3 linked regions of the Oryzias latipes genome follow. The protein of the gene in region 3 interacts with the protein of the main gene of each other region in a pairwise test. Links are inferred from orthologs where the notes say so. Each region holds a gene or a part of one and is shown on either strand. Other genes may lie near its edges.

Region 1 (4,474 bases), on a different chromosome or scaffold from region 3:
AGTCTGGACTGAACCGACACGCAGAGCCTGAAGCATATTTACCTCCAAAAGCAGAGACCACTGCTTCTTTTTGACAAACCTGAATGTTGTCACAGCTCCACATCGCTGCTGTGTGTTTGTATGAGAGTGTGTGTGTGTGTGTGTGCTCTATTGAGTGTCTGTTGCCACAGTTACCAAAACGCCAACCTCACTACGTCACGGCTTTAGACAACCTTCACATTCAAAAGCGCAGTAGCTTTTCCTCTCTTCCCTCCATCTGCCTTTTGTTTGGAGCTGGAAGCTCACTGGACCTTCAGTTCCAGAACTCAACCTGTCCTCCATGTGCGCGTCCGCCTGTTCACTTTATTTATGTTGCATGTATTCACGTCACCATGGCTACGAGCCGGGCCAACAGGCGTCATCAGAAAGGAGAGGAGGAAAAGCAGAGAAGCCGCTCTCCCCTGGACGCACACACACACACACACACACACACACAGATCCGGTGCTGCTGGTGGGTCTCTGCTCCGGTGAGCTCCTCCATCAGGGTCCAGAAGGACCGAGCAGAAAGGCCGGACTGTGTGAACGCTGATGTGACTGGAGGAATCTGTCTCTGAGGCGCCGGATGAAGTCCGGCCTGACTCATCCTCCTGTTAGAAGAAGGAGGAAGACGAGGCAGAGAGGAAGCTCAGGGAAGCTGGATCTGCAGCGCCGCCTCAGAGGAGCTGGATCCGTCCTTTCATCAGGCTCACGCCGTTGTTCCAGCGCTCTGGCTGTGGTGAAGCTCAGAGGTGGACTTCCTGTTTTGTGTCCTTTAGGAACGACTCACAATGGCGGACTTCAACCAGCTGCTGCGACCTGCAGGACTCCGCCTGATCATGTGATCTGACTCGAAACCTTCGCTGGCGTCCCTCACCGGTGAGCCATCGTAGTTCTTCTGAGGGAAATCGGGTCTGTTATCACAAAAGCTTTCACACGTTCCCAGTGATCAGCCCAATCTGCAAAACACCTTTATTAATAGTTGGAGGACAAATGAGGCAGCAGGAGAGGACTGTGAACACTCAGCTTGGTAAACCAGAAGTGTGTGTGTGTGTGTGTGTGCACATGCGCGTGTGTGTCAGTGGATGATAATGCTCAGGATGGATGAGAGCCACTCTGTTGCCAAGGTGACGGACCAGGCTGTAAACACACTATCTCTGATTCATTTTTCCACAATACACAGTCTCTTTACACACACATACATGCACATGCATGCACGCAGACATGTACACACATATGCACACACGTGCACACACACACATAGAATAGAGGCTGATCAAAGGGCGACCTGAAGATCCGGAGATGAGAGCCTCTTCAGGTTGTTTAGCTGTGGATCAGAGCAGGAATATAAAGGCAGCGGACCCTTTTTGACATCTACACACAAACACACACACTCAGACACAATCGCACAACACCAGAATCCCACACAGCTGTAGCTAAAACTCAAAAGCAGGAGTGAAGGTGAGAGTTGCAGCATGCACACACTTCAGAGGAACCTCGAATCCAAACCACGACCAGCGTGACGGTCAGATCTCAGACCTTCATGTCTCTGTGCTTCAGAGTTTTTCAATCCGATGCCACACGCCATCCCAGAGGCGGAAGATCAGCTAGAGTGGTCACCTGACACGGAGGAACCTCACTGAACCGGAGGACCATGACCCGCCGCCTGAGCAGCTCCACTCGCTCGCACACTGAGGATTCCATCTTTCTGAAGCCGGATGAAGATCCCGTCTGGCTGGATGAACCCACCAAGATAGAAAAAGTGAGTGATGGGGTCCTGAAGAACGAGGGGCTGACGGACGGCACTGATGGACCACCGGGGGACGGCGCACAGGGAAAGGAGGCCTTCCTGCAGAAGGTGTTCGCTCTGGTGGTTGAGATCCACTGCTGGGCTGCACTCTTCATCAGCTCACAAGTTGTGGTAGGTAACCAGGGTTTGCTCTTTGTAAAATGAGGAGGAGGAAGTTCCTTCAGTATAAAAGCTTTGATCTTCCTGCTGTAGCTTTTATTTTGGCGTCTTTGTATGTAAAAACGAGAAGGACGACACTGCTCACTGCTGCAGGAGTAGGCTTCAGTGTGTCTCCTCCCGACCTCAGAGCGTCTGCTCGATTATTGGTGCTGCAAAACTTTAGCTCAAACTGCCCCCCCCCCCCCCCCCCCCCCCCGCCATGTTTCCAGGGTTACTGTGTGTTTTTCCTCCTGGAAGGAAACGGCCCCCTCTCTTCCATCCATAAAGCCCTACACGTCATTGACTTCTACTTTGGCTTCCTCTTGCCTTTCCAGCGCATCTTTGGGTTGGACGTAAGTGTCACTTTGAACCCCCCCTTCACCCCCCATCCTCAGACAGGAGTCCACCATGAGCTGTTTGTAACCTTCTGCTTCTCTGCTCTGCTCAGTCTGTGATGATGATGAAGGAGGTGGCGAACACCAAGCAGCACAAGTGGATCGTCCAGGGAACCTTGGGCATCGGAGCAGCCATCTGCATCCTCATGGTACGACTGTGGTGGACCCTCAAAACGGCTTCTTTGGTGCTGTTCTCCACTTGGACTCGGGTCCTGGAGGGTTTTTAGGTATTCCATGCTGTAATGAAGCCTCACCTCCTGTCTTCTCTGCACCCATGCTCAGGTCGTCCACATGGCGTGTAAGTGGCGTTCTGGACTGTGGTCCACAGACATGGTGTCCAGAGAGATGGGTGACCGCCGGCAGTCTGTGAGCCGCCAGCCCTCCTTCACGCTGTCCGAGTGGACGGATGCTCAGGAGGATCTGCTGGATGTGGAGGCTGAGCCTCAGACTCCGGTCTTTGACTCGGAGCACAGGGCGGATGGCGATGCCGCGACCCTCACAGTGACGCCCGTGGGGCTACAGGAGAGGTCAGCGAGAACCAGGAACTGAGAAGAATGCTTGAAAAATGTTTCTTTAACATGAAAGTTTCAGCAAACTTCAGCCGTTTCTGACTCTAAATTCTGTGGAGGTCCTTCCTCCATAGAGAACACACTGAACTACACCTGTTCATCATAATAACTTTATTTACGGCTGTTAGTTCTTTACAATTTGATCCCAGTTATTCCGTTTTTCTCCAATTCCTGATAAAAATCTCCGTCAGTGGTTTGGTTCGGCCTCCGAACTCCTTCTGGAGCTTCATCATGTTCCAGCATCTTCCTCGACCTGCTGACAGGAAATGCCGTTTTTCATCCTTCTGTGAATGCAGATGTGCTTCTAACAGATCGATTCCTTGTTCCCACCAACTCTGACTCCTGCAGACGAGGCTCCAACGTTTCCCTGACCTTGGACATGTGCACGCCGGGCTGCACCGAGCCCTACGGATACGGAGCGCAGCTGTCTCCCAGGGACCAGTCGGCTCAGGAGTACCTCCGGGAGGGGTCGCACGTCCTGACCCCCGCCATGCTGCACAGCAGGGCCATGGATGACCAGAGCCTGCAGGCGGAGTTCTATGTGAGCGGCACCGCGGCATCCTACACATCAGATTAGGAGACACGCAGCGGTTCCGACACAGACTCAGGCACTAATGCACACGCCCACACATGCACCAACGCTTGTCAGAGCCCATGGTCAGAGCTCTGCACACACCCTGAAGCTTTTCCAGCGTCTGTCAGTGGGCGAAGCGTGGAAGGAGACGCGCATTTGTACACAATAAACCCACGGAGGATTCCACTGTCTGGGAGGCACGATGAATGAGATCGCCAAACATCATCAGAAGCCCTGAAGTCATTCACAATTAGCACAGAAAGGGTTTGGAGTGAAGGCCGCTGGATGGCGATCTGTTGGCGTTTGCCTTGGGCCAATCCCTGGACATTATGCAGACTTTTCAGCTCTGACTCTTCCTTGTGTTCTAACAGGAAACTCCCATGAACTTTGTGGACCCTAAGGAGTACAATTACCCCGGGCTGGTGAGAAAGAACCGCTACAAAACTATCTTACCCAGTAAGTGCAACAATGTGCTGGCAGTCTGAAAGCATAGAGCCCATCCCCCTGGCATGAAGCGCTCAAACGTGTCTCCAAAGATTTGAACCAGAGAAGAATTCAAACTTCATTCATGACTTCTCCACAGATACGCACAGCAGAGTCATCCTGAAGTCACAGGACGAAGAGGACTTTCTGTCCACCTACATCAATGCAAACTATCTGAATGTAAGTGGCCCTTTCTGATCTGTGCTCAGGGGTCAGGGCCTCGCTCTTTGCTCTCACGTCGTTCTAAAAGCTTTCTGTCGCCGTGTTGCAGGGCTACGGGGGCGAGGAGCAGGCCTACATCGCCACACAGGGTCCCACTGTGAACACGGTGGGGGACTTCTGGAGGATGGTGTGGCAGGAGAGAAGTCCAATCATCGTGATGATCACCAACTTGGACGAGAAGAACGAGGTGTGTCTTCGGTGGCAAAGATGAGGAGGGCGAAGAGGAGCTTTGAGCTGGAAAAGTGAAAATCTGCTGTGTGACTTTCTC
Region 2 (3,978 bases), on a different chromosome or scaffold from region 3:
ATATTTTCCGTTTCAGCTTTTAGTTTCACTGCTTCTGTAACAGTGACTTGATGACGATTGTATTACACCTCTCCACCAGAACCTGAAGCACCGGACTTTGGGCTCTGAAATTCTGACACCATAAACCCTAATCAACCAAACGATCTGTTCCTCCTGTAACTTCCTCTTTTTATCATTTAAGTTTTACAGCAAAAATCACAGCTTGCAGTATTGTTGCCATAGCTTTGATTATCACCGAGGGAGAATAGAACAACAGCCTTGTCACATAGGATTGTTAATCATAACCTTTGCATGTACTAAACTATAGCACAGTTCTTTTTAGGGTATTTTAGTTTCCTTAGACTGTGGTAACAGTGTAATTTTTCATTTTTAAGTAAAACTGTGCTTAGATGTTACATGTTTACCCTTCCCTTAGTCTATGCTAGTGTCCAGTTTGCAAAATAATCTGTATGGTTTTGCACATCATTCTGCAAAGTGAGGCCTGAAATCTTTCTGGGGTTTACCTGCAAACGTTCTCCGGATTATGCGGCGCAACCCCGGCTTTTGATTTTTCTAGACAGATCCATCGATCCCTTTTCGTGATACTTGAGAGAACATTAACTTTATTTCAGGAGCAGCAGGAATTAATCTGCTAATGTATATCAATTAAAGAGGGACTCAAAAGTCCTTTTTCTTGTGGTGTCCCAAATGCAGACTGGAGTTGTTCTTTGTGGGTTTCCCTAAATAATATATAAACTGGCAAACAAATTTGCTGTAACATGAGTACCCTGCAGTCCCCCTCTTTCTTCCTCTTACCAGCTAGGTGTACAAGCTTACCCCCCCCTTTTCAGTTTTTGTTACCTTGATACACTGTAGTGATGATTACACATTGTGCTCACGATCCTTCTGTTTAAACATAGTTTTTTTTCCTTCCTTTTTTTTCATTTGGTTTTGCAGCATTCCTTGTTAGCAAACGTGGTTTCAAATCTAAAACTATTGAAGGAAAAAAATAAAATGCGGCTTTGCCTGAGAACAAGTTTTTTGGGAAAGGCTGCAGGATGGGTTATCTTCAAGAAAATAAATGGTGAAACCCTGAGTGACTGCGTGTGTGTGCTCTGTTGGTGGAGAGGCGCCTGCGTCTGAAGTTCGGTTCAAATCGGTGACGGCGCCTGCTGATTGGCCAGAGAGACAGTTTGTTCGCATGCGCAGTTTCGTGGTGCATTTGGAAACTGTCAAAAAATTGTTTATCTTCTGTTGTTTGTACTTCCAAAAGTAAGATGTACCCAAAATCAGAAATATTTTTAGTATATTTCGTATTTTAAATAATTTTTGCATAGGTTTGTGCTGCTAAAATTACGCGTGCTTCCGTGTCTCTATCCGCAGCTTGTATTTAGGAGGGATTTATTCTAAGTGTCCCTGAAGGCAGCACCGGTAGGAACAGGAAAAGGGAAGCTCAGACGGACACTTTCCTTCTGAAGTGACGGTGAGTCTGAAACAAATAATTTCCTTACGAAAACATTGTTTACGCCATCACATCTAACAGGCGAACAAGACAAAAAACATTTCCGAGCTGACACTGAAGTAACATGATAGCTTTGCTAGCAGTGCTAAGTTAAAAGGATTTGAACTTGTTTTGGTAATTGCGAGCACAAACATTCCTGATGCTAGACTAGTGTTTTTAAAATGAGCTAAAAGTAAAGCTAGGCACGACGTGTTCACGTCCATTTGAACCGCGGCGCCAACTTTGTCCCAGTTTCCACGCACGGATCATGTTGAGCAGACTGTCCGGACTGAGGTGCTGGGACGGGGTGGCAGCTGGCATCGAGGCCGCTATTGTTCCTGCTCTGGCGGCTGTAACAGGAGCAGAGACGGTCCTCCTGATCCCCACACAACACGATGATGAGAGCCAGCAGAAAAGCTCAGAGGCCAAACCTTTAGAAACAAGACATTCAATTTCATTTAGCAAATAAATAGTAGAGCTCTCACATTTCCCTTTTGAAGGATTGAGCTCCATCTAGTCAATGTTTTTTTTTTTAATTATTTCTCTTTGAGTAATGACTGATAATGGCTGACAAATTAATCGAATGGGTTATGATAAGATTTACATTTCAATACATATTTTTCTCGCTGCTCTTTTTACCTTCTCATTTGGGTCTTCATCATTTATATTTCTCAGATTGCGCTTGTTTAGATTAAAATAAATATATTCCTTTATTTTAGGAATTTCCTGGAGATTTTAACTGTCCAGCCCAAAATGAAAAACAATTCCCTGTAGTTTGTATGTTGTTTTATTGAAATTGGACTGAAGGCATTTTAGAAAGTCTAGATCAGTGGTTTAGAACCAGCAGCTCTAGAGCCTCTAGTTCAACTCATTGATAAACAGTTGAAGGACAGTACGTATCACAAGTCAAACTAACGTATGGACAGATTTTTGAGCGCCACATATTAAAAAAAAATCAATTGGAGGTCAGTAAGCAGTACTGGAATAAATAATTTACTGCTGACATGACACTACCTACGACTAAATTAGCTGCATTGAGATGATCCTTATAGTACATGGAGGCTTTTATTTTGAAAGAAAGTATTGGGAACCTCTGTTTAAAGTTAACTCAAAGAAACGGCTATTTCCTCTGTGTTTTGTGTTCTTTTCTATTTATCATAATGACAACATAAATACAAACCTGTGTCTTATTTTTCCAAAGGGTGAATGAAGTAAGACCTTGTGGCTCCTGCTTGATAGTGGTCAGTAAGAAATCAACCAGAATTATTTAAAAATTTTTGGTTGAATGAGTTTCAATTTTTACAAGTAAAGGGACTAAAAAGTCTTTATTGCATTACCCTTCTTGATGGTCTAAAATACTTTATTTTTATTTTATTTTCAGATAATCCGATGACATAAAAAGTGTCATGGTGCTTCAAAATAAAAGAATTAATCATATGTTTGCTTTGATGCTTTATTTCCGTTGTGCGATGCGCTGTTTTCTTTCCGTTCTCCTGACTTTCCAGACTTCCCTTCCAGGCCTGCAGTCCTAATCCAGGCCTCCCGTCTCTGTCATGGACAGCCTGGAGGAGGACCTGACCTGCTCGGTGTGCTACCAGTTGTTCTCCGACCCGCGGGTCCTCCCGTGCTCGCACACCTTCTGCCAACCTTGCCTGGAGAACCTGCTGCAGGTGTCCACCAACTATTCCATATGGCGCCCGCTCCGCCTACCAATCAAATGCCCCAACTGTCGCAGCGTGGTGGAGCTGCCCCCGGCGGGCGTGGACGCCCTGCCCAGCAACGTCTCCCTGCGGGCCATCATTGAAAAGGTGTGGAGGAGTTTTGTGCCTCGGTGGGACGTTTCAATTTTAACGTTCTTTTTCTGTTTTGGGGGCTATAAGTACCAGCGAGATGAGGAGCCACGCCCCCCGTCCTGCCAGGAGCACCCCAGACAGCCCCTCAACATGTACTGCATCCAGGATCGCCAGCTGATCTGCGGGCTGTGTCTGACCGTCGGGCAGCACCACGGCCACCCCATAGACGACCTGCAGGCCGCTTTCGCCAGGGAGAAGGCCACTCCCCAGCAGCTGGCCGAGCTCTCCGAGCACAGATGGGCTGAGGTGGGCGGGGCTTTCATGGCGGAGTGGTTAGATCTGCAAGATTATGGCAAAATGTATCCAAAACATTCAACATTTTGGGGAAAAAGCTTGAAATAATCCAAAATGCTGATGAATTTCTGACTGACAGGCTCCCGCGCGAACCTGTCAGTCAGAAATTCATCAGCATTTTGGATTTTTTCATAACAAAAGCTAGAATAGAGACAGTTTGAACGTGCGGTTGTGTGAATTTTAAGGTTTGTGAGCTGGGGGAGCAGCTGGAGCAGGAAAAAACCCGATGCGAGGGTTTGCTGAGACAGGACCGGGACGACGTGACCCAGTTTTTTCACTCCCTGGCGTTGGTAATGGCCAAAAAGAAAGAGGCTTACCTGGAGGTTCTGGACAAAGCTGCTGCTGAGGTGT
Region 3 (4,436 bases):
GACTCCTCCCACGTGCGGGCACCTGATAGGCCCGAGCAGCTCAGACGGAAGGCGGCCGCCTCATCCCGGTGCTCAAACGTTTTTCTGATTCACTCAAAATTCCGTCACCGTTTAGCGGATTTGAGACAAAACTCACACCGAAATCAAAGCGGCTGACTCAAATAAACACCTCTGGGGTTAAAAAGCAAAGCCAGCCTCCGTGCTGATGACGTCACAGCAGTGCAGGTACCGCGATGGGGGGACAGCGGGTCCCCGCTGCAGCTCACCGTATGTGCGGAGCGAACAGCAGCAGCAGCAGCGTCACCACCCCGATCCCCGCGATGATCACCAAGACCCACATCTGAGCGCTTCCACGGGCCTCTGCCTCCGGCCGGACGTCAGGGATGTGTGGGCAGAGCGGGGCTGAGCAGCTGATGTCAGGGCTGGAGGGGCGCAGCGGCACCGAGAGCGCACGTGCAAAGGATTGTGGGATTGTAGTCATTGTTGTGTTTTGTAGTCCTTTACATTGGAGGTCAAATACAAAAAAAATGTTGTTTTTTAATTTCACGTAGCAGCAGGAAAGATTAGAATGAATGCCAAAAGATATATATACAAACTAAATGTGTTTAAAAAACAGTAAGAAAAATCGTAAAGGATGAGTGAGAAACGGTTCATTATAAAGGAATACAAAACTATAGTTTAATTTAAGAAATGTAATGCCAGAATTCGAAGTAAAACATGGAAAAATGTCAATTATTGTAGATTGAATTTTGTAAAAGAAATTGGAAAAAAAGACAAAAACATATAAACACAACAGCTAAATCTAAATCCTCCCACAGCCTTATATTTTGCAAAAAAAATTTAAATAAATGTATATACATTTATATGATTTATTATCATTTGAACAATTATTATTATTATCACTAGAATCAATTACCATTTAAGTTGCCGTTATCACTTCATAAAACTGAAAGCTGCCTCTGGTTATTTCTGTATAACATTTATTTAGAATATCTATTGCATTATTATACGTTGTCCTCGAACAAAATAAGATAAAACATTCAAATAATATTAACTTTTTAAAAACTAAAAATGCATTTTCAGCACAAAAACTCAATTTGTAGTGAAGGTTTTATTTTATTTTTACAAATATCCTTTTATTTATTAAAATAATAGTAAGTTGAGTAACACATATACCAGTAGGCCTATTTGAATCAGTTGCAAAAATTGAATTATAGAAATCGCATCTAATTTAATTTTAATTGTACACATAAATTTAAATCAAAACATTTTCTTTCTTGTAACTAAAGATTCAATTTAGAACTCTTCTGTTTAACGAAATCAATAAACTACACTTCCCAATTTCCCCTGGAGCCAATGTTAGGTGTCTATTTAACTGCCTGACTAGAAATCTTTACTCTTTTCCCTTTTAAAATTCCGATAAGCAATATTGTGTGATACAGTTCATAAAAAATAAATTTAAAATGGTATCTTTAACACTATTTTAATTTTTAAATGTGTAAAACACAACCGATTATTTCATTCTTTTACGGAATTTTAGTCCTTTTGGTCACGAGGACCATCATGCGGAAGAATCCCGGGTTCTGATGATGAAGGAAGCAAAACAAACAGATTATCTTAACCTTTCCACCTACAAAAAAACCTTTTAAGACTCTTGAATATATCTATATTCAGGAGGAGCAATAATAACTGTATTCAGGAGGAACTATCCGGGTTGATCCCTGAGAAATGTCGTCGGAGGAATTCGAGAAGTTGCAGGAAATCTACAGATCTTTGTACGAGGAGCTGAAGTTAATTCCTGACAGAGCCGCGAAATGTCACGGAGGTAAACGAGGATCATGTTCTTTGTTGCTCATTGTGTTCTTAAAATCTCACTAAAAAACAAAGTGAAAGAGGTTTCATTCAAGATCATTCATAGGTTTCATCCAACAAATCAGTTTATGCAAAGGCTAAAAACAGAAAAACTGTTCTTTCTGTTTTCATTTGAGGAAACGTTGTTGATGCATATTTTTTGGGACTTGCATGGAAAAAACATCTTATTTGGTTTCATTAATTATGATAATAAACATTCGTCTTAATTTGATTTAACGAATCTCCTGATTTTACTAAGTATTTTATTCACAAAACTAAATTTAGCAATAAAGCTCCCAATTGTTTTGATTGATCGACTTAAATTAGATTTTACTAACAATCCATTTCCCCCAATACAAACAAAGAAGCAATTCATACTTGTCATTTTGCTCAGGTTTGTCATTTCATATAACTTTATTTTTGTATATTTATCCCTCTGGTGTTTATAATTGATGTACAAGGTAATGGTCTTTATTATTTACTGTACGTCTCCTGGGTTATGAATGAATAAAACTAACAAAATCTCACTCTGATCATCTTTTGATCTATTTCCAAAGTCGTCTTAAATTATGATCATGTTTTTTTTTATTTAGCCAAGAAGCTGTGTCGTTTTCTAGGACAGCAGTTTGTTAGAAATTTGCGTCAGAGTTGTGGGCGGGACTGTCGGCAGGAGTAAGCCCACCCCCACTTCCCGTCACCCGTCTGTTTACACGCTCTCCTGCTTACAGCCTCTCACACCCTCAACCTGACGTTACAGGTGCAACACATCGCAAATATACGTTTTTCAAACTGCTTTTTTTTCCGTCCGCTCCCGATTCACAACGATTTGAATAAAGAATTACTCAGAAAGGCAGTTATAAGCTACATGTTATACATGTCCCCCATCGTTTTCATGGCAGTGGGTGTTTGAAAGGATGGATGGATGGAAGGAGCCTCTGTAACCTGTGTGCTCTGGTCTGCAGAGGAGAGGAAGAGGCTGGTGAGGAGCTTCGATGAGCGGCAGGGAGAGGCTGAGGAGGTGGTAAGCAGATGTCCTCCTTCCTGACGGCTCACATTCATGGAGTCATTTTGCGGTTAAACACAACAGATGGCACATTCATTATTAAATATTAATTTTTAAAAAAGGCTTTGAAAAAATCAAACTGGGGTTTTTGGTGCTACAGTCAAGAACCAGCGAAGACTTGAAGTCAAAGTTCAAATATTTGGTTGCGTTTCACACACAAAAATAAGAATATTTGATCAAATTTTGTTCATCTCTTCCTGTTGGAGGGAAAACGAGCTTCTAGTTTCACATGAAGTCATTGTGCGTTTATCAGCTGATTAACCTTTAATTTCTTTTTTTCATACTGTTTTTACATTTATTTGAAATGAACAGTGTGATTATGGTTACATGGTTTGCATGCAGCTTTAAGTTTAGTTTTCTATTTTAAATTTCTTTTTGTTCTTTTCATTCATTTGAAATAAAAGAAAAAAATGTTTTATTGTTTTTTCCCCTCTTTTTTATTTTTATTTTTTACAGCAAACAATACCAAAAAAAAGAAAAGCAAAGAACAACAAAACAAACAAATACCCTGCAGATTTTACAATTAAATGTTCAAGTAGAGGTTGACTTGTCTATAGAAATAATCCATTAATGGTTGCCATGTCTCAGGTGTAATTTCTTTTTTAACTGAAGAGTTAATAATTCCATTTTTCTTGAACCTTGTCGGCGTTTCTATAGTCGTTTCAGACGCTAAAATCCATCTTTTTGATCAAATGGACTTGGATTTTCTCTCACAGTTGCAGGGCATGGAGGACGAGCTCCGTGCGGCGCCGGCGTCCTACAGAAACGCCATGAGCACCAAGCTGCGTCTGTACCGCAGAGACATCGGCAAACTGCAGAGGGACATGAAAACCTTTGCTCCCGGCTTCGGCCCCGCCCCCCTGACGTCTCACGGCGACCGCCAGGGCCTCTATTCACCCGAGAACCAGCAGAGTGTGAGTGTGGACCTTCACGCCTCACAGGTGTTCTGGAAACCTCCTGACTTCCTGTTTGTCCCTGGGGGGTGCAGACACACCTGCAGTCGCAGAGGTCGCTGCTGCTTCAGGGGACGGACTACCTGAACAACGCCACGCAGAGCATCGAGCGCAGCCAGCGCATCGCCGTGGAGACGGAGCAGATCGGTACAGACATCATCGAAGAGCTGGGGGGGCAGAGGGAGCAGCTGGACCGAACCAGAGACAGAGTGAGGCCGCCGCCTCCTCCTCCTTTCCTCCTCCTCCTTTCCTCCTCCTCCTTTCCTTCTCCTCCTTTCCTTCTCCTCCTCCTCTTTGTCCTCCTGCTCCTTTCCTCCTCCTCCTTTCCTTCTCCTCCTCCTCTTTGTCCTCCTCTTCTTCCTCCTCCTCGTGTTCCTCCTCCTCCTTTCCTCCTCCTCCTCCTTTCCTCCTTCTCCTTCTCTTCCTCTTCCTCCTCCTCTTCCTCTTCCTCCTCCTCCTCCTCCTCCTCCTCCTCCTTTCCTCCTCCTCCTTTCCTTCTCCTCCTTTCCTTCTCCTCCTCCTCTTTGTCCTCCTCCTCCTCGTGTTCCTCCTCCTCCTTTCCTCCTCCT

Evidence for each region.
Region 1: the proteins of vti1b (region 3) and tyrosine-protein phosphatase non-receptor type 5 interact in binary tests that used the Homo sapiens proteins (3 or more experiments, as listed by UniProt). The two-hybrid records come from large-scale screens. The link is inferred for Oryzias latipes from reciprocal best matches to the Homo sapiens genes VTI1B and PTPN5.
Region 2: the proteins of vti1b (region 3) and trim59 interact in binary tests that used the Homo sapiens proteins (3 or more experiments, as listed by UniProt). The two-hybrid records come from large-scale screens. The link is inferred for Oryzias latipes from reciprocal best matches to the Homo sapiens genes VTI1B and TRIM59.

Annotation. Positions count from the first base shown.
Region 1 is NC_019864.2:31,280,925-31,285,398, reverse strand, and holds the start of tyrosine-protein phosphatase non-receptor type 5, read left to right. Parts: upstream 1-1,641; 5' UTR 1,642-1,669; coding exon 1,670-1,936; intron 1,937-2,193; coding exon 2,194-2,316; intron 2,317-2,411; coding exon 2,412-2,507; intron 2,508-2,640; coding exon 2,641-2,885; intron 2,886-3,275; coding exon 3,276-3,468; intron 3,469-3,872; coding exon 3,873-3,957; intron 3,958-4,084; coding exon 4,085-4,164; intron 4,165-4,255; coding exon 4,256-4,393; intron 4,394-4,474. UniProt on the Homo sapiens protein: May regulate the activity of several effector molecules involved in synaptic plasticity and neuronal cell survival, including MAPKs, Src family kinases and NMDA receptors.
Region 2 is NC_019871.2:13,509,642-13,513,619, reverse strand, and holds the start of trim59 (tripartite motif-containing protein 59), read left to right. Parts: upstream 1-1,178; 5' UTR 1,179-3,033; coding exon 3,034-3,288; intron 3,289-3,360; coding exon 3,361-3,579; intron 3,580-3,812; coding exon 3,813-3,978. UniProt on the Homo sapiens protein: E3 ubiquitin ligase involved in different processes such as development and immune response. Serves as a negative regulator for innate immune signaling pathways by suppressing RLR-induced activation of IRF3/7 and NF-kappa-B via interaction with adapter ECSIT.
Region 3 is NC_019880.2:1,875,667-1,880,102, forward strand, and holds the start of vti1b (vesicle transport through interaction with t-SNAREs homolog 1B), read left to right. Parts: upstream 1-1,520; 5' UTR 1,521-1,728; coding exon 1,729-1,825; intron 1,826-2,750; exon of another isoform or gene 2,751-2,773; coding exon of another isoform or gene 2,774-2,813; coding exon 2,814-2,872; intron 2,873-3,630; coding exon 3,631-3,828; intron 3,829-3,902; coding exon 3,903-4,076; intron 4,077-4,436. Other genes in the region: retinol dehydrogenase 12, read right to left, coding at 267-481. UniProt on the Homo sapiens protein: V-SNARE that mediates vesicle transport pathways through interactions with t-SNAREs on the target membrane. These interactions are proposed to mediate aspects of the specificity of vesicle trafficking and to promote fusion of the lipid bilayers.